Caenorhabditis elegans: one gene and its partners. The protein of the gene in region 4 interacts with the protein of the main gene of each other region in a biochemical or structural test. Each region holds a gene or a part of one and is shown on either strand. Other genes may lie near its edges.

Region 1 (4,367 bases), on a different chromosome or scaffold from region 4:
GTTTTTTTCATGGAAAATATATATTCTCACAGGCTAATTATGTTTGTTCCGGTTTAGGTTGTCGACAAATGCACTCGATGTGAAATGATATGTGTGGATCCGATGACAGGCGAGAAGGATCCCAGTTTGCTGCTTGCATTACGGGATTATAGAAATAAGCAGAAGGTTTGAGACAACGCGTAGATCAAATTATGATAGGGTCAAAGTCACAAGAGCCTAGTACCATAGTATAAAGAAGATCATCTAGTCGAACAACAGAACTCTGTAGAGATTGCGAATTTTGGATAAACAGAAAAAGTTTCAGATGACATTTGGAATCTACATTCGACAAACTAATTTTGAGAGTGGACAATATTTGGAGTCTGGGATGTCTGTTAACTTTTCCACTGATTAGTAAATAAATGTTTCCAATCAAATTACTTACAAACTTGAGCATTCAAATTCGATGTTTTGTCTTTTACGTAGTGCCATAAGTCGGAACTAACTATGAACATAGTGACGTCATTTTCATATTAAATTGATGTATGATTTTACATTTTACAACCAAATAACTAAAAATTGGCAGAAAGGAGCACAATAGGGAATATCACAAAAAAATGTGTGTAGGTTAATAGAAAAAAAAAACAGGAAAAACTATTCCAAAGAAATCAGAGTAAACGACAAAACAAAATAAAAATTGAAATGACAACGTTAACTAGACTAAATAACTGGAAACTAGCAAATTCAGAGTATTTTCTGAAACTTGAAGAAGATAGATAAAATCAACTTGAAATAAATCCGAAAACATTGACGAACAATTGTTTCCAAAAATGAGGGTTCAGGTGGTAGTGGTGTATCTTTAGTTCGAGTCCGACCAGGCTTTTGTTCAAAAATAGGGCTGGAATATTGGGCGTCCGCTCGTCCGGATTTTAGAACTTTGAAAATTTTCCGAGGGGTAGGTTTTTAACGGCGGCCGACAATTTCCGAGTTTGGTTACTCACTATACCTAATCATAGAATTTTCTAATGAGTGGTTAAACTCGGAAATTGTCGGCCGCTTGGAAAATTTTGACTTTTTTTATTAATTAGAACTATAAAAGTTTTGACAAACATTAATTAGATACAACTTCACATGAATACTTTTATTAACAATATCTTGAATGAAGAAATTGAAAAAAAAAACACACACACAAATGCTTGAAAATGAGAGAAGACGATTGAGGACGACGGTTGGTGTGGTTAGCTTTTTGGAGTTGATCACTAGACGAAAATATTCCCTCCCTAAAGCATTGGCTTTCAGTAGAGCAGGACTGATGATGGCCCCCGGTTTGACATGCGCTCCGGAACATATTCATACGGGTCAGCAGATCCGTATGACTCTCCTGAAATAAAATGTTTACTCAATAAGTGAAATTGAATTTTAAATTTTTTGACGTCGCTGACTTGATCGGCGAGCAGTAGTGTTGATAAATGCTCAAAACTTACCTAGAAAAACATCGTCGGTGCCAACTGGATCGGCTCGTTTCCCAAACCGCACCAACGAGTTGCGCATCGCCTTTTTCGCCGGTCTCATGCTGAAAAAGAAACTCTTTGTACCCCCCCACTGGGGACGTATTTATTTTTTCTTTAAGTTCTCCAGAGACCATTTTATAAATGACTACTACTATTAAATCTACACGTTCTTGTTTATAGGCTATAAATATATTCCTTTTTCGAGTCAATCAGGTTGATTTGATTCTAGTTTTGCTCTCCTCAAGTACGCACGTTGCTCATAAACTATAGATGCCAGAGACCTTGATTTATTGCCGGTTTTATCTTCACATAGATTTTTAATTTTTTTTTTCTTTCAAGATTTCTTAACAAAACATTATATCAAACAAGTATTCAAAGAAACACAAAAGCTAAAAGTTGTGAGTTGTAATGTCAGTAATCATTCAAACTTCTCAACGCTTTTGTCTTTTGCAAATCGGCATTGAACTCCCTGGGTAGTTAAGTGACTACTGGAAAATTCAAAATTTTGAAATTTTTCAAACTTTGCTGTAGCTAAGAAAGCTTGGGAAATATAGTGGTACATAGGTGTTCGGTTATGCTAAATAGCCATGACGCGGATTTTGCTTGATGCAAAAAGAATCATAATTAAAACGACATCGTGCCCACGCTAGCAATCCTATTTATAATAATTTATTTCGAAAAAAAAGTTTCCTTGCTTAATGCCTATCACTTCCACTCACCTTGGCATGGCTTCCACGAAGACGATGGAGCAGAGGAGAGCGAGGATAAGGGTTTGCACAAAGGAGAGCATGTCGTAAGAATGAAGGCTTCGTGGGGCGTGGCACTCACTCGGCGAGCTGCTTTCAGATTCCCATTGCCCAACCCGAAGACCCCTCCCACTTTAGCTGCCACTGGCACATGTGTCATCCGCACTGTTTTTGTCGTGCTTTCGTAGGGATGACAGTGTGTGTTTAGTACTGGGAGGGTTACTTACCAAAATGACACTTCCATAATTGAGCCAGAGAACGGAACGATATAATCGAATAACAAATGAAGCAGCAATCGCATTACATTTCGAAAACCTGAATTTGAACACGTAATTTCTTTCCAAAAAGTGATGTCGGAGTCTCCGGCTCGGAGGATGAGCCCGACTTTTTCCGGGTTTTAGATGGGATAAGCTGTCGAGAACAGAATATTACTAATTGCGGCGCGGGACGAAGAAGCCGAAGCCGATCAAAAATCTGAACGTGAACAAAGGAGAAACTCCTCATTCTTGGTGTGTGGTTGAGTACCTAACCCTATCTACTAACCAAAAAGTTAATGTTTTACCAAAGAACCACACAGACCAACGTTTCTTTGTCTTGGCAATGTTCGTCGACGCCGCCAACTCACACCCCACTCATACATTTTCAACAGTGTCAGCGCAAAAAAAAGACGAATCTTTCTCTTTTTCACTTCTCACTTATTCTTTTGTTCCATTGTTCCGATAATTTAAAGACAAAATGACGAGGTAGGAACAACGAATTGCCGATAGTTGGAAACGGGGGAACTTTGTGTGCAACAAGACAATTGTGGAGCACATTTCAGGTGTATACTTGTTGGGAGGTATTCGATGAATTTTCTGCAAGGTAAACAACATTATTTTAAGAGCACTTAAGTGTTATAAGCTTCTGTAATGTTCTCGATCGGTTCAGAGTCCACACGAAAAATAATGCTTTGAATTTCGAAGTAGTATGTGAAAAGGAAATTATAGTGAATAAAATAAAATAGGTGATCTTCAAAAATGGTCACGAAAGTTACCTAGGTCTAAGCATTGCTTGGCACGTCCAACAAACTTTCATTCAAACATTCTTGTTTGCTGATCTAAACTGCTGAAATTTGTCGAACATCCTTACGATGGATAAATTTTTTCAACCGGTTTTGGCCTCCATGAGTTACTGTGAGCAAGTCAAAAAAATAAATAATTACTAAATGTTTGAAAAAGTCCCACAGGCGTACTCAATTTTTAAAATATACTTACGGCCTTGCATTGTAATATTTTCCGTAAATGCAATTTTACTACAGATTGGATAAGTCTAATTATTCAATTTTGGAAACCAGCAAAATTGGTCTAAAACTGAAATGCAAAATCTTTTTAAAAACTTGAACTCTGTGATGCGCCTCGGACTTATAGTTTGTGTTCTTTCAAGCGCTCAAAAATTGGAAGAAAACAACAACCGTTCCAATTTTATTTCCGTAGAATTTTATGATCAGGAACAAAAAAGCACAACAAAATTGAGAAATACTCGCATTCCATTCCAACATTTATTAAATTATGAAATTATTTGAAAAAATAAATTAAGTAAGTGAAGAACGCCTGACAAACAGTGAACTTTTCGCAAAAAAGAATATCATTTGTGTTCCAAAAACCAGAAGCTTGCAGGCAAAAAAATCCTAGATTCTCTCAAGAGCACATAACCAAGGTTAGAGGATTTCTATACATATTTGATAAAAGCAAACAAAAACATGAATCATCTCAGTGATTTTTCCAAGTTCTGGGTAGGTTCAAAAAGTAATGAGAATTTTCAATTTGCGGTTTTACCAAAATCATAGGGGTTTATTCATTTAGGAATAATTTTATATGAATATTTATTGGTATAAGACGTTTGATCGAGCCTTAAATGTTTTGACAATCATTTGGAAGAAGACTATATTTTTGCGTTAATCTTCTTGATTAAAAAAAACCACCATGAGAACAGCTTATGGGAGTAGTTCATTTTGGAACGATAGTTCTTATATATTGGGGGGGGGGGGGGGGAATATGTTTTATTATTACGATTTTTAAATTAGAAAACCGACAAAAAAATCTGTTATTAGGGTCAAAAATATCAATTGAAATATACTATTGCATGCACTACT
Region 2 (4,351 bases), on a different chromosome or scaffold from region 4:
GTGAAACTGTACTACATTCTAATTCAAATATGCCTAGAAAGGCTTGAAATCGTTCCAAAATTCAAGGTTTCAATAAAAAAAATGTTGTCAAAACGCCTTAGAGTACCTGAGCCTGAGCCCCTTTGGTCAAAACTTGGCAGGGCTCCAGCCGAAACTTGACCTAGATCTCCCCTTCCCCATCCGACATCAATTTCCTCCCGCAAACAATAGCTATTCTGGTCTCCCCGACAATTGTATTTTGATGCCCGGTGACATGTCAATACGCACTTCCGATACACTTTATTATACCTTTCTTGTTTACACGTGGTTTTGTTCTTTCTTTGATTCTGGAAATTGTTGTGCAAAAAGAAAATGCTGAAATTCCAGTCGACCCGGCGGTGGAGCCGAAGAGGATCATGCTCCGACAGAGTTTACTATGGAGATGGCTGTGAACTCGGAATCCAATCGTTCTGATTAATTTATCAACTATTTATTTTTCTCACCCATATCAATAAAACATATTTGTCAATGCTCATCGTTTATTTTTGGCTTTAATTTTGCATACGAAGAGTGTCGGGGCCGCACCGATGTCAAGGGAAGAGGACAGAGAAGGAAAGAAGGGAACAGAGAAAACGACAGACACAGAGGAAGAGAGAGAAAGAGAGAGAGAACAAATTGTGAGAATTTCAAATTTCAGATTGAGCTGAGCATCAGGTTTAACCAAAACGTGGCTTTTGGATTCCGTCAATGGTGCGCAGGAATCCTGACATGTCCTCGAAGCCTTCCAGCGGGGCACGACGTTCCTTGGCTGGGAGGAATCGTCTGAAAATTAGGCTTTGAGAGAGGGAACGAGGACTGTTGAAAAGGAGCCTACTCACTAGAGCGAAGAGATAGTGAAGAGATCAGGAGCCTAAGCCTAAGCCTAGGCCTAAGCCTGAACCTAAGCTTAGGCCCAAGCCTGAGCCTAAGCCTAAGCCTGAGCCTAATCCTAGGCAAGGGTGTCAAGTCCCGTGTTCCGTTTGCCCCGTTGTCCCGTTTTTTGGGTGTTTTCACGGGAACGGGACGTCCCGATGTCCCGTTTTTGTAATTTTTACGGGACATTGACACCCTTGATCCTAGGTCTAAGCCTGGGCCTGAGCCTAAGCCTAAGCCTAAATCTTGGTCTAAGCCTGAGCCTAAATCTAAGCCTAAGCCAAAACCTAAGCCTAAGCATAAGCCTAAGCCTAAGCATAAGCCTAAGCCTAAGCTTACGCCTAAGCCAAATAAGTTTAAAAAAACATTATAGTTAGGGCAACGCGACTCATTCAGCAAGTCATATTTATACATCGAAATCTCCAAGATCTAGTTCCCAACTCACTTGATAAATTCCAGCTCGGCGTTGCGAGCTTGACGAGCTTCCTGTGCCAGCTCTGCGGCTCCACCATCGGCAAACGCGGCAAGACGTGGCTCTACCGAGAAGCCATGCACGGCTGACAGCAACACAATTGCGACGATGAGAATAAGAAAACGCATGGTAGGGGGACCCTGGAAGTTTTTATTTTTTTTTTGGGTGAAACAGTGAAAAAGCCCAACGAAACTTAATCTAGGCTCGGAACTCTAAAAAGCTCAACGAAACCCCCAAAAAGCTCGGAACTCGATTGACTTTCTGCTGGCTGCACAGCTTTTATACTATTCAGCTTACCTATATGTGCTCCAAAACCAAACACGCAGGAAACAATTAGAAGGCGTGGTCCCTCTCCGTCTTCTCCAAGAATGTAACAAATCTCAATCAAGACGGGTGACAAGTCAAGAGAGAGAGAGAAGGTAATTGTTCATGAGCTCTTTGATGGGCAGTTGTTTTCGGGTGGAAGCAAGTATAATGCTACAAATAATGGAGGAGGATGATGATGACAATGCCATGATGACGAAGTTCCTGTTTGGTAATTCTGGAAGGTCGTATGGAGTCTATTTCAGTTGTGACATTGGTTTGGTTCCGGTACCATGGCCAAGTGATATCATTTCAATATTTGTGTAGGCCAGATTTTCGATTCCTATTCCGGTGACCGGACCGGATCAAACTGTCACGCGATCTGTTCACTTTACTAAGAACCCATTATTCCTTAATCACGTGGATCGGCCGGTATCACACCTAGATGATATCATTCAATCGTTGTGTCACGCAATATGGGAAACCCATTAAGTTTTCCAGTGTAATTTGATTTTTTCTCGGAATATGTAACTTTAATTTTGGTGGAACAGGCACTTCCAGACCTTCTTTCGGCTAGATCCAAGTCCCGGTTGCTTTACCGGATCGGAGTGTCACGCGATCTGAAAATCTTAAAATTGAGACTTTTGGCAATGGATTTTTGTGCAAAAGAGCATGCCAGTCTGATCGAACTCGGAACTTCAGAGTCAATCCAGCTTGATTTAGCAGACACACTAAACACGCCAGTGTGGTCCATAGAAATGTGGTCTACGAGAATGGCGGGAGTTCAGATGCGGCGGACTTTTCAACTAATTTCGCATGTTTGAGAGTACACACAACTAAATCTGATTAAATCTGATGATCACATTTTTGTAGTTCCGCCGGGTCTTCTTATAATATACAGGTAATTTTGCTAAGAATCTTAGTTCTATGTACCCCTCCAGCCATTCGTAACGTCGATCTAGTATTAATGGGGCATATCGTGCAGTGACTCGGTTCTGGTAACATGACCGGCTCTGATTGTCACGCGATCAGGAGCCTAGAAGTTTAATGCAAGTTTCAGGTAATTTAACTAGATGTTCCGGCCACACCGCCGGATTCAAGTGTCACGCGATCTGAAAGTTCCTTATAGGTTTTTTGTGCAAAAAGTTAAGCAGAAGCTTGTCACGCAAGTTGGGTTTTTGGCAGTTTTTCTGGAAAATTTAAAATGTGAACTTTTACTTGGCCGGAGTAAAATTAGGATAACTGGATTGAATATGGTTCAAGCCCTAAAAGTGTATAGTTATGGTCTTTATGTAGTTGAAAAGGTATAAATATCATTAAAACAAGCAAGTTTATCAACTTCCTACATAATCTTCCAAAAGTAGTCCACTACTTCCAATAAGAGCTTGGCCATCTGTCGTGGCGTAAACGAGGAATGTTTCAGTGGGCTTGTTCGCTGATAATTTGTGAATTTCTCGTTGATAAGACGTTGATTCACATCAATGATCACCACAATTATGGATCGGTAGATATTGCACTGAAATTTTGAATATTTAGGAAAAAAAAACAAAAAAATTGCTTCAGTGGGGACTAGAACCCTTTTTATTTTTTTAACCAAAAATGGTACTTTAATAAAATTTTAATAATTTTTAGACCATTTTCTACCCAAATACCCACCACATCTTCGGGCATATTATTGAACGGAGCCTCTCGCTCCACATGCTCCATGGCTTCACGTAAAACTGGCAGGTTTCGTAAAAGCACGTCACGTTGGTAATAGCAATACTTGAATTGGTGACCACATTTGCAAGCAATCACTTGTACAAAAAACTGAAGGAAAAAAATTGGAAAAAATTGGAAAAAAACCAACCTTTCTATCAAAAAATTCACAATTCTGGCTTGCCACGTGGCTCTGAAACCCCTTGTTGTCCCGAAATCGGCGTTGACATGTGGTACACACATATAAGCCCTGAAATTTAACAAAAATAAAGGAAAAACTCTGAAAAAAGAGCCCAACATATGCTCGTTCCTCCTGCTTCTCCTGGTAGCGCAAAAAGTACTTGTAGTTGAGAAGTAGGTGCCTGGAGTCTAGGAATAGGTGTTTCTGAAAACTTGATTTTTAAAAATAAAATAAATTGAATTTTTTGGAGTATTTTGAGTCAAAAAAAAACTAGAAAAAAGCTTACAAATTAGATGAGTTATGGAAGTTTGAAACTTTTCAAACAAGAATTCTGAGAAAATTTTGGGTCTCACGAAAACTTATTTCCTAACAAGTTTCTTCAGAAAATTTTCAGGCTAAAAAGCTTTAAATTTTTCAGATTCCCAGCTTTTCCAAATTTTAAAATACAAATTCCCAATGAAAACTCACATAATGCTGCTCAAAAAAGTGTCGGATACACTTCTCATTAGTTTCAAAAATGTACTTGCACACCGGATCCGGGCACATATGATCCCGGCCGTGTAAATGTGCCACGTACTCGTTACGTGACGACCAAGTACGATTGCAACAGTTGCAGATGTAAACTGGCTGAAATTTGGAGCAAAAATTTTTTCCTTGATTTATTTTTTCTAAATAAAAATTTCCCAACCTTCAAAAAATGTTTCTGCTGATCCCAAGCTTCTGTTTCAACAGATCCAGTTCCTTGTAAATGCTCCAAAGCAGTCTTATAGTCTGAAAACCGTACTCCACAGCAAAATAGTTGGCAG
Region 3 (4,487 bases), on a different chromosome or scaffold from region 4:
CTTCATTCCACGTGTTCCGTCTATGCAGAACAAATCTCACCGCATAGTAAATTTCGGTTCAAGTAAGTTACGGGAAAAAAGGCTGATCAGCAAAATTTTCACTATCTGGTAAACCATTAATGTTTTTTGAATTCAAATTATTTAGAACGCATATAAAAGAGAATATGTTTTGATCTTTTTTTTCACTTTTTATTCTGACCTAAAATTGTAGCATTGAAACTGATGATTTGAAAAACACTAAAAACGAATTCACAAACTATTATGGAAACTTCTTTGCCAACTTTGAATGTTTCACATTTCAATTTCAGAGAACTTCTTTCTCAACTTGAAATCTACAATCGACAAATTAAATTTTCCCACAACCCTCGAGCGAAGCCAGTTGATGACAAACTTAAAATGGCGTTCCAGGACTGTTTCGACCAAATCATGAGGCTGGTGGATCGCTGATTCTTTTTTCTATTTTATCATGTTTGTTTCTTCCAAAACACCATAATATCTTTTCCGATTCCTTTTTTATTTTGAATCTGCAGCTGAAACATCAAGTAGGTACTACTGAATAAAACGTGTAGTTTGTCTTCCATCTACCATTTCTGATGAGATTATTCGTCTTCTTCAATTTTTTTTTTTCCTGTCATTATTTTTCATTGCACACTGAGTGCAACTAAACGGTGTACCGTCTTCTTTCCTTTTATCATTAATTTTTGACTGTTATGTGAACCTTTCTCACTTTTTCTGTTTTTCTTTTCATGTTCACTCTAGTCCTGCATAATTGTTAATATGCATCATATTATGAAATAAAATGCTTTCATCGATGTTTAACAAGTCGCAAACTTTATTGCTAAATTTTTGACAATACAAAGAATAATGGAATCGAATTGAGTAATGAGAATAAAAGCGAGTTAATCCAAAAGTGACAGAATTTGTATAGACGGAGAAGGTAAAACGTATATAAAAGGACAGGATGGACAGAAAGAAGGAAGGTGTGCTGATTGTCGTCTGAAGTCTGATTTGATGTGCGCAATTTGTTTGAGGTGTATTGAACCATGTCTGACCGTCAAAATTGTGCAAAGCCGGTTATCCGAACCTGACTGAGCTGGCCCAAGATGCCCTCTTACCGAACCTCACTTGATTCGCCCATCTCTTTTCCATGCTCTTGAGAGAAGGGTCCGACTGCTGCAAGAAATTGAATTGAACTTGTATTCCTTTCTACTTTTTGAATTCAAAATTCTATTTTTGAAACATGAAAAGGACTAAATGCAATCATATTTCACATTCTCCGAGTTTTCTTTCCGTCCCCAAATGCTTATTTATGTACCTCAAAGGAATTCTAGAAAAAATGATGCATAGACGTGAAGTGGATCAGAAAAAAAACTCATTATTTTTTGCATCAAGGATGAGACTACGGTGATACCTAATCCCATAACGAGATGAACAAACACACAAAATTAGTTGGGTTTTTGTTCCGCTCTGGCCCATGGCTCACCTCAAGATAGTCGTACAATGCCGAATCGTCGTTGAACGCCTCCATATTCAACGGTGAGTTGTCCTGAACGGCTTGCATTTTCAAATCACCATTTTGTGACTGAATTGGTTGCCCTGAAATACCTATTCATTGACTATTCTTCTGCTAGAACAGTCTAGACTCTAACACGTTTACAATGTTCTGTTGAGAGATATAGGCTTAGATTTGTGATATTAATAAATGAAAACAAAATTGAAATTGAACAAGACAAAGATAATTGTTAATAAAAAATAAACTCACCGACGACTACGGCAATTAACAGGAAAAGCATGGAAAACAGCGTTAGCTGGAAGGACATGTCGGTGCAATGAATGAAGCAGTGGTGGGCGTGTCCTCCTTGAGGCACGTTGAGAGCACTCGCGGGTTTTGTGGACGTGGCTTGTCAAAGACTAAGAAGCGATATCTACAAGGAATTCAAGAGTTTTCTATAGTAAGAATGAGAGACGACGCGACAAACCGGTGAAATGTGGGTGGAGCACTATGGAATATAGTGCTAATGAACCAAAAGTGAGAAGGATGGGAATGGGAGGAATGTCACCGCTACTTTTTAAGATGTGCAGCCTAGAAGTTTTTCCAGTATTTCGAGCCCGGAAAATAAGAAAGTGATGATATTTGAAGATATCCGGAAGCACGAAAGTTGAGGTGTGGGTTGCTTTCTCAAACCTACTTTATAATTCAAGGTAGACTTTTTTTTAGTTTCTCTTAGTTTAGATTTGAGATCTGAAATGTGGTTTTCCGGATATAAAAGAACAAGAAAAGAAAAATTGAAGTTTAATGCGTTTGTTTCAGTTCTCGACTTAGTTAAAAATAAAGAACGTTTGAGAAAACTTGTTATGATAGTTGTTCCAATTTTGCTGGCCAATTTCAAAAAATTGAATTTTGGAGATGTTATAAATTACTTTCCATTATTTCATGCGGTACAATGTTCTTGTTCTTAGCAATTCTACATACGGTCTAGACGCTTAATAACGGATTTGGTGATTTTTGGCATTTTTCTCAGTTAGTCACTGAACAGGTACCATGATAATTCTATATTATTTTGTGTTCAGTCTATGTTACCGCAGGGAATTCAAAGAAATGAAGTAGTTGTTACAAAACGGTTTGATAAGGTGTAGTTAATAAAACTTGAAAATTGTTAATACTTCTGAAAGCGAAAATTAAAAACAGTGTAACACTATTTTTAATTTAAATAATCCGCTTAGATATCAATAGAGACGCTGTAAAAATAAAACTTCATTTGTGAGCGGAAGTCTCATCAACGCTTGCGCTTGCAGGAAAGGAGCAAAAAATTAAACAGATTTCATTTAAATTTTAATTTGTTGCTGTTTTCAACCCATATCTCGCAGAGAGCTTCATGAATTTTAATGCTAAATTCTGTGTTGTGCCACAGAAATTTTTTATTCTAAAAAGTTAAAACACACCATACATGTGTTTCTTTTCCAGAATAGCATTTTCGAAAACGATTAGAATTTCAAATTTTAAATTCTCACTTCCTGAGGCGGGCTACCATGGAGCCAAAAAATCACTTCTATGGCGACGCTATGATTTTTCTATTGACGTCATTGAAAGCATTTTCATCAGAAGAGAAAGTTAAATTGTACTCAATCATAGAGAACTCGGCTGGGAAAACTCTACTACCATTGTAGTCATAATCTTCTGTCAGAACTTGTTATACATGACTAATGAATCATAAATCTCGTTTCAAATAATCAATCTCAGCTCTTGTTTTCCGATCTATCAAACTAAAACAATGAAAATAGACAATACACTGTATAAGTGTCATAAATCAAGATGCACATCCAAGTTATTTATGAACAAGGTTGAGTTAAATAAGAACAGTTTTTCGGAGGAATTGTTGGTCTGTATTTAAAAACGTTTACATTTACCTCGACTTTATCTGTTTTTATGATGATAATAATTTGTACATCACACTGTTTGTTGATGAGTTACATATAAAATATATCCAGTGCTTACGTGGAATATTATTATATTTTAAGTTGAAACATCTTTCATTTATTCTATCAGTTAACAGCAAACGATCAGGGATAAATAAGTGATAACATGTGGTTTCCGTTTTTTTCCCACGATGACATCAGTTTCAATTCCGATTTTAGTTTTAGGTTCTAAAGTTCTGACTTCGGGATTTGATAATCAAATTTGATGACGCAAAAGCATTTGAAAAACACAAAATTTGAGAAAAAACAAATTTCTTGATTTCAGTACAATTTGATTACAGTGAATGTGTTTTTTTTCCAAAACCACGTTTTGACTAGAGCCAACTTTTATAAACAATTTTCACTTGAAATAATGTATGGAGCAAATTCAAAAAATACATAACATAGTTTAAAGCATACAAGGTAACAATTATTTCGAGTTTATGAAAATACACGTCATTGATGGAATTAACCAAGCAAACATACGCGAATCAAAAAAATAGTTCCGAAATTAGCCGAGTTGTTGTGGAAGTAATCTTTGGGAAATTTAAAACCTCCGTTCCCATGAAGTTAAACTCGATTCTGAGAAATTAACTAGACCCAAAAATTTTTTTTCAATCGTGTGACCACTATAATTCTTTCATGTAGTTTTGTTATAACAAATATCTAGATTGCGATCTTGTGGAAAAAAAATACAATTGCTCTCTTGCCATTATATTAAGTTTGTAAAATCAAATATTTGAAGAGTAATATGAGCAGAATCCGATTTTTATTAGAAAATTATTTTTGATTAGTACCGTAATGGGATTGTGTTTTTACTAGAACTGTTTGTGTAACGCATTTTTAATGATTCTTTCAAAATAAATTGCGATTGGTTTTTTTTTAAGTGTTTGGGATTTTTTCAAAAACAAAAATTTTCAAAAGGATCTTCAAATTTTCAAGTCGTCCGTAAATCTGTATTTCAGCTGAACAGCCGTGAGAATTCTGTTTATAATACGAAAAGCTAAAATTTATTTTGTTCAACAGAACAC
Region 4 (5,875 bases):
GTTGGCAGATAGAGGGAGAGTATTGTATCCAGAGTTGCCTGGAATTGGAGAGAATTTAATTTTGAAAGAGGCAAATGAACAGTCACATTTACCAACTGGACAAGAAGTTATTCAAGAATGGGAAAAAGAAGCACAGTTCTTTGATTTCGACAAACCGCGATGGAATCCAAGTTAGTTTTTGAAGTTTGCTTCTTAATTTCGAATAGGTTGAGTTGGGCAAAATTTGAAATTTTCATTTTGTATCAGCAGAACTGGCTAACAAATAAACAAAATAAGGCTAACAAATAAACAAAATATTATTCAAAAATTCGCATAATTCTTGCTGTCCCAAAGGCTGCCAACTTCCCATTCAAAACATAATCAACTAAAAAATAATATTTAGACAAGAACTAAAATCTTAGCTTACTCTTGGTCCGAGTCAATTTCATAAGTGTCTCTAATTTCAGAATGTCAACGATTTTCACAAGTTGTTTGGAAAGATACAACAGAACTTGGCGCTGCACGGTATTGGAACACAGCAAATAATTGTGTAGCTGTTGTCTGCTTTTATCGTCCAGCGGGAAATTCAAATGCACCCGGAGAATTTGCTTCAAATGTTCCATCCAGAGATTGTTCAATGTCACCAATTCGAAACTTGGGAACTCAACTAAAACGCCACGTCACGATCTCAACACCAGAAAGAGCTGTTGTTTCCAAGTAGCTACTAGTTTATTTTTTTCAATTTGTGTAGCCAGAAACCGAAAAAGAACATTCCGAAACGGGTTGTGCGTTTTCTTCTACTTTTCTCCCCCACTTGATGCTTTCATTATAGTCAGCTTTTCTGTTTTTTTCTCTTTCATTTCGGCACCCGGTAACTTTGTCGGTTAATTGATCTCTAGCTATTACTTTCCATTGACAAATAAAAGATTGCTATGCCGAAACATTTTTACAAGTTGGAAGATTATCCTTTTTAAGTAAGTGTTTTAATTACACGGTGACATACGACTGTCATGTTTGCCATCAATATTTTTGTGATGGCATGATAAAAAATTCATTTAAACCAGAAAAATGCTTATGAAAATCAATCTATGTCTACCTACTATGGGAGCTAGTTTGAAGTTCTCCGAGGATACAATATTCCCAATTCTGCAATTTTCATTCATAAAAGGTTGTCATATACATAAATCAATAACCTCAATATGCAAATTGAAAGAATTTTAATTTCTGAACAATTACTTTATTTTTTTTTTCAATTCTGAAAAGTTTAAAGATTTAAAAAAAAAGTATGTTACTAATAAAAAACAAGATTCATTAATAGGACACGCTTAAGAAGAAATCAACGTAATCAGAAAATTGAAATAGAAACCCGTGAATATGGTAAATACTAATGGTTTTGTTCTGACACGTGTTGCAATTTGTGTGTTTAAAAAATTCTGATATCAAATGTTTTGAAAGTGTCCACGAATTCCATCAGCACTGGCTGTTGAGTTGGGTCCTGAGCTGTTAAGTAGATGTGATGTCTCATCAGTGGATTCATCTTCTCCACTTCGAATCGGTGGAAGTGGGGATGATGGAAATGATGTTGGCATTGGAGAACATGGAGTAATTGAATCACATCCAGTCATTCTCGTTATTTCCGTACTGTTTCTTCGTACCTGGATTCCGACCATCTGAAAATTAACATGGCTTATTCAAAAGTTTTGTAGAAAAAACATGTGTTGATATTCTTACTTTAACACTTGCTGACCTTGTATCTTCCGAATAAGTGCCATTTCCATTCATTCCATTTCCGTTTTTCTCGTTTGGTTTTAGAAAAGTCATTTTTGTGGTACTGTAGGCGTCGGATGGACGACGAATCGACGGCGATGACATTCGGAGACATCTCACCTTTGCAGGTACAAAGACACGGTGGAATTCCTAAAAATTTTATGATTTTTCTATATTGAAAATGAACCAATTTTTATTTATAGAAATCAAATGAAAATGCTTGTTCCCTGTGTTAAAATGAACTAAACACACATTCATAAAATGAGCAAAGTATGTACTTCCATGATTTTTCTTGTAAAAACAACTCCGCAATTGTCGGAAAATGTAGAGATCTTAAGCGCATTTTAAGACGCTGCCGAACATCATGTTAGTAAGAAAACAAAGAAAAAAAAGACAAATTCGCTTGGAAAGTTCCACCGAATGTTGAGAAAGTTTGTAGTATTTTCTAACAGCATACAACACATTTTTCATTGAGGTATTTTGAAAAGATGTCGCTCATTGAAATTTTTTTCAAGTAATATCAAAACTTACATTTCTGAACTGTCCACTCATTGAGCAGTAAATGATGAATGAACAACATGAACCGCAAAGTGAGAACAAATCGAGAATGTCTCCCAGATTGTTATAAATGTAAATTCGGAATTCTTCAGAACACATTCCAGACAAGACAGCCATAATTCCTTGAGGTAATTCAGTCACTAGCATAACTGCTACAATTGCCAATAACATATGAGTTGTCCGATCGACACGTTCTCCTCTCCCCCGTAAGCTTCCATTTCTGCCTAATTTCTCGTTGCCTGCAACTGAAATGCTCAGTCTTTGTCCGTTTCGAGTAGTCGTTTGATTCGGTGGTCGATGTTGCGAGTTCTTGAGAAGACGTTGACGATTCTCACGCACTTCACGAAGAATTCGTAAAAGGAGCCAAACAAACAACGATAGAAGCGCACATGGTAATACTTTGAATACCATACCGGATATCCAATAAGATAACCGGAAGACCTGCAGGAAATTAGGAAATTGGTTTTTGCTAGGGTGACGATCACGATGATAAATATTATTTTGTATAATTTTCATGATATCATATGTACATATGATCGATCAATTATTTCCAAAAAGGTTTATATAAATCCAAAGCTTCAAAGTTATATTATGATGATCTTGCCAAAATTTTTAGTTTATAAATCTAAGTTCCAATAAAAAAGTTTTTCGAGAAATTTTGTTTGTATACAATTTGTCAAACATTATTTTTTAACAAAAATCTTGTTTTTTTTTTACTGAAATTCAAAAATCTTACCAGACAGCTGTTTGCTTTTGCAATGTCTGCAATTCCAGGAAGATACGCGGGCGAATTCCAGAACATTGGATCCAAATCGGTACACGTTTCATTCAATGGCTGTTCATTGATTTTGTAATTCAGAAAATTCGGTGCATTAAGCACTGCTACAAGGGATACAGTAACAGCAACGGCATAATAAGAATGCCTTAACGTCACTTGCATACCACCCATATTTCCCCTACTTCGAAGTGTTACATATCGAACAAGTGCAAGCATAACTGCAATAAAATCGAAGAGTTGGACAGTTGTCTTCAGAATGAAAAGCTTACCTGACAACCAAACACTTGAAGAATGTGCAACTAATGAAAGATGAGCATGAGCAATTAAAAATAACGCCCAAGAGTAGGACCAATGTTTCGGATGACAAAACTTGAAAGCGACAAATGAGTAATGTGTTGTGTATATTAAATTTGAAAATAACACAACTGTATCACAAGATGCCATTGCTGTCAAAATCATATTAACTGGCGTTCGCATTGTTCGTCTCGTTAGTACGACGATGTTACAGAAATTAGCGATTGTACCCAACACGCATAGAAATATTGATAAGTAGGCATGTATAGGATGGTAGAAATTATATACACTTCTGAAAAAAAAACGTTTAATTTCACTTTTTTCCACTTTTGCTCTTGAAATATTTATTAATGGCTCTCTTTTTTATGGTCATCACTTTTGAGGACACAATAATTTAAGATAAGATAACCTTCTTCAATAACTTGGTTTTATTCGCTATTTTTAGGGATGATTTCTACAAATAATAGGATAACTTTTAATGATGATAAACTGTACTTTTTGAAAATACGTCAAATACAACAGTACTGGGCAATTATTTGAAAGATTTTTGAGACACAAAAGTAAAACTTACACAAAAACATCGTATAAAAAACTTTTATCGGGCAGATGAATAAATGTAGTTTTGCATTCGGTAAACTCCATTTTGTTTGCTGTTCCTCTGTTCTATTGTTTCTGATTCTATTTGAACATCTGAAAAAAAACAACAATTTATTAATATTGAAACGTTGAAAATGAGGAAAACAAGCGTTCAAATGAAAAACGGCTCCGATTCGGAAAACCGGAAAACGTCATTAGAAATGAGAGATGACTATGAAAAAAATGACAAAAGGGACAAAGATTTGGCAACACATTGCTCATTCACTTTTTAAAACAAAAACACTCAAATAATAGGGTGAGTGTGTTTTTTTGGAACAAAAAAACTAACAAAAATATACTGCAAGCTTTTGCTCAAAAATCTAAGATAAACACCAATTATTGCCAATTAGGGAGATCTTGCAGATAAAACTTCCTTAAAGAAATCATTATTCAGAAATTGAAGGAGTTGCAAAATCAGAAAATATAAAAATAAAAATAGCACAGGAAGTTTAATGATTTTTTTACTGGGAAAATTAAGAGTACAATTGAAAAAAGAGAGCCAAAAAGTTTTGAATGAACTTCAGAAGGAATAATTTGCATAAACTGAACAAGATTAATACATTCAAAAGTACACAAATTTTCGGAAAAATTGATATGCACTATACCAAATTCATATTCACATTCGTTTTTTGATTAATTTTTTTGCCGCTACACAATTTCGGCAATTGAGCATGTATTCGATTACAAAGAAAATGTCACAAATTCCAGGCACTTGGAAAAATAAATTGATAATTATTTCTTTTTCTATCACTTGGAAGAAGAGTTGTTTTTAAATGCCCGCTATTTCAGAGAGACATCACGTCATTAAAAACCATAAACGTTACGCATTTTGAAAAATAGAAAATTCAAAAACCTAAATGGATATCTCAACAGCTTTTTGTCACTATTTCACTGTCTCTTCACTTCAAAACACACACATATATATATATATATATATATATATATATATATATATATATGTGCAATATCCGTATCTACTTCCAACCGCTATTCGATCACTAAAAGAAACTCAAAACAAGCCTCGCTTCCTAGTCCTTCCGTTCGCCGCCATGATGGGCCCAGTATCTAAGCATGGGCGGAATTTGTTGCTTTTTTACTCAAAAAAAAGAACCTTTTTTATGTTGAGCACGGACAGATAAACGCAGAGCGGGGTGCAACGCATCTCTCCCCGACAAAAAATAACATCAGAATATAACCAAATTTCGGTCAGCGCTCGGAAGTGTGTGAGGCGGCCTAGCGCGCTCCAACTCTAATTACAGAGCGGATAAGGTTTGGATAGATATTTCCAAAGTTAGTCATGTGTTGATCCGTGACCACATGTCAGGTGAGCACCCATTTCCGGAGTCACTTCAGGAAAAAAACTCATTGAGCTGACTCTCGTGCCAGAGGAATTTTTCGCACTTATCATTAAAGAAAACGACAAAAGTTTATGCTGAAAATGAAAATATTTGCCGGAATTCGGTTTGAAGTTACGATAAAAAAGTAAAAGGTACAAGATCAAACTCCACTGGCAAACATATCCCAAGTATTGAAAATTTTAAGCATAATTACTTTTGAGTTAGGGGAAGGAAAATGATGGAAGTCCGGTTAGGTCGGATTTTCCTATATTGCTTGTTAAATCATTTTTGTGTATTAAATTGTATTGAAAAATAGCTGAAAAATAAGGATTATTATAACTTCTCTTATTTTACTTTTTAAAATTATTTTTTGTGACGTCGAACTTTAAAATGCAACGCCAAAAGTTTCCACAATGCAATCAAATCCTTTATACTTAAAACATCAAAATCCAACAACATGTAAACATATTTACAGAACAGAAAATTCTAAAAATATTACAAACTTGTAAACAAGTTGATAGTTGAG

The links.
Region 1: the proteins of dmsr-1 (region 4) and flp-32 interact in a test that uses a peptide from one of them, tested with the Caenorhabditis elegans proteins (one large-scale study listed by BioGRID).
Region 2: the proteins of dmsr-1 (region 4) and flp-33 interact in a test that uses a peptide from one of them, tested with the Caenorhabditis elegans proteins (one large-scale study listed by BioGRID).
Region 3: the proteins of dmsr-1 (region 4) and flp-19 interact in a test that uses a peptide from one of them, tested with the Caenorhabditis elegans proteins (one large-scale study listed by BioGRID).

What each region holds. Positions count from the first base shown.
Region 1 is NC_003284.9:15,431,711-15,436,077, reverse strand, and holds flp-32 (FMRF-Like Peptide), read right to left. Parts: upstream 2,292-4,367; 5' UTR 2,281-2,291; coding exon 2,210-2,280; intron 2,054-2,209; exon of another isoform or gene 1,857-2,053; intron 1,553-1,856; coding exon 1,464-1,552; intron 1,361-1,463; coding exon 1,275-1,360; 3' UTR 1,106-1,274; downstream 1-1,105. Other genes in the region: mocs-1 (Molybdenum cofactor sulfurase), read left to right, coding at 58-165, 305-394.
Region 2 is NC_003279.8:12,623,734-12,628,084, forward strand, and holds flp-33 (FMRF-Like Peptide), read right to left. Parts: upstream 1,506-4,351; 5' UTR 1,492-1,505; coding exon 1,337-1,491; intron 802-1,336; coding exon 696-801; 3' UTR 501-695; downstream 1-500. Other genes in the region: ntr-1 (G-protein coupled receptors family 1 profile domain-containing protein), read left to right, coding at 367-457; T07D10.3 (C2H2-type domain-containing protein), read right to left, coding at 3,009-3,182, 3,323-3,475, 3,516-3,614, 3,663-3,749, 4,014-4,172, 4,234-4,351.
Region 3 is NC_003284.9:10,602,159-10,606,645, reverse strand, and holds flp-19 (WANQVRF-amide), read right to left. Parts: upstream 1,961-4,487; 5' UTR 1,821-1,960; coding exon 1,763-1,820; intron 1,597-1,762; coding exon 1,484-1,596; intron 1,174-1,483; coding exon 1,075-1,173; 3' UTR 815-1,074; downstream 1-814. Other genes in the region: Tyrosine-protein kinase abl-1, read left to right, coding at 1-62, 309-447. UniProt on the Caenorhabditis elegans protein: FMRFamides and FMRFamide-like peptides are neuropeptides. WANQVRF-amide inhibits the activity of dissected pharyngeal myogenic muscle system.
Region 4 is NC_003283.11:11,436,961-11,442,835, reverse strand, and holds dmsr-1 (G-protein coupled receptor dmsr-1), read right to left. Parts: upstream 4,067-5,875; 5' UTR 4,019-4,066; coding exon 3,948-4,018; intron 3,669-3,947; coding exon 3,352-3,668; intron 3,301-3,351; coding exon 3,041-3,300; intron 2,746-3,040; coding exon 2,278-2,745; intron 1,897-2,277; coding exon 1,711-1,896; intron 1,650-1,710; coding exon 1,419-1,649; 3' UTR 1,272-1,418; downstream 1-1,271. Other genes in the region: F57B7.2 (SCP domain-containing protein), read left to right, coding at 1-170, 447-700. UniProt on the Caenorhabditis elegans protein: G-protein coupled receptor.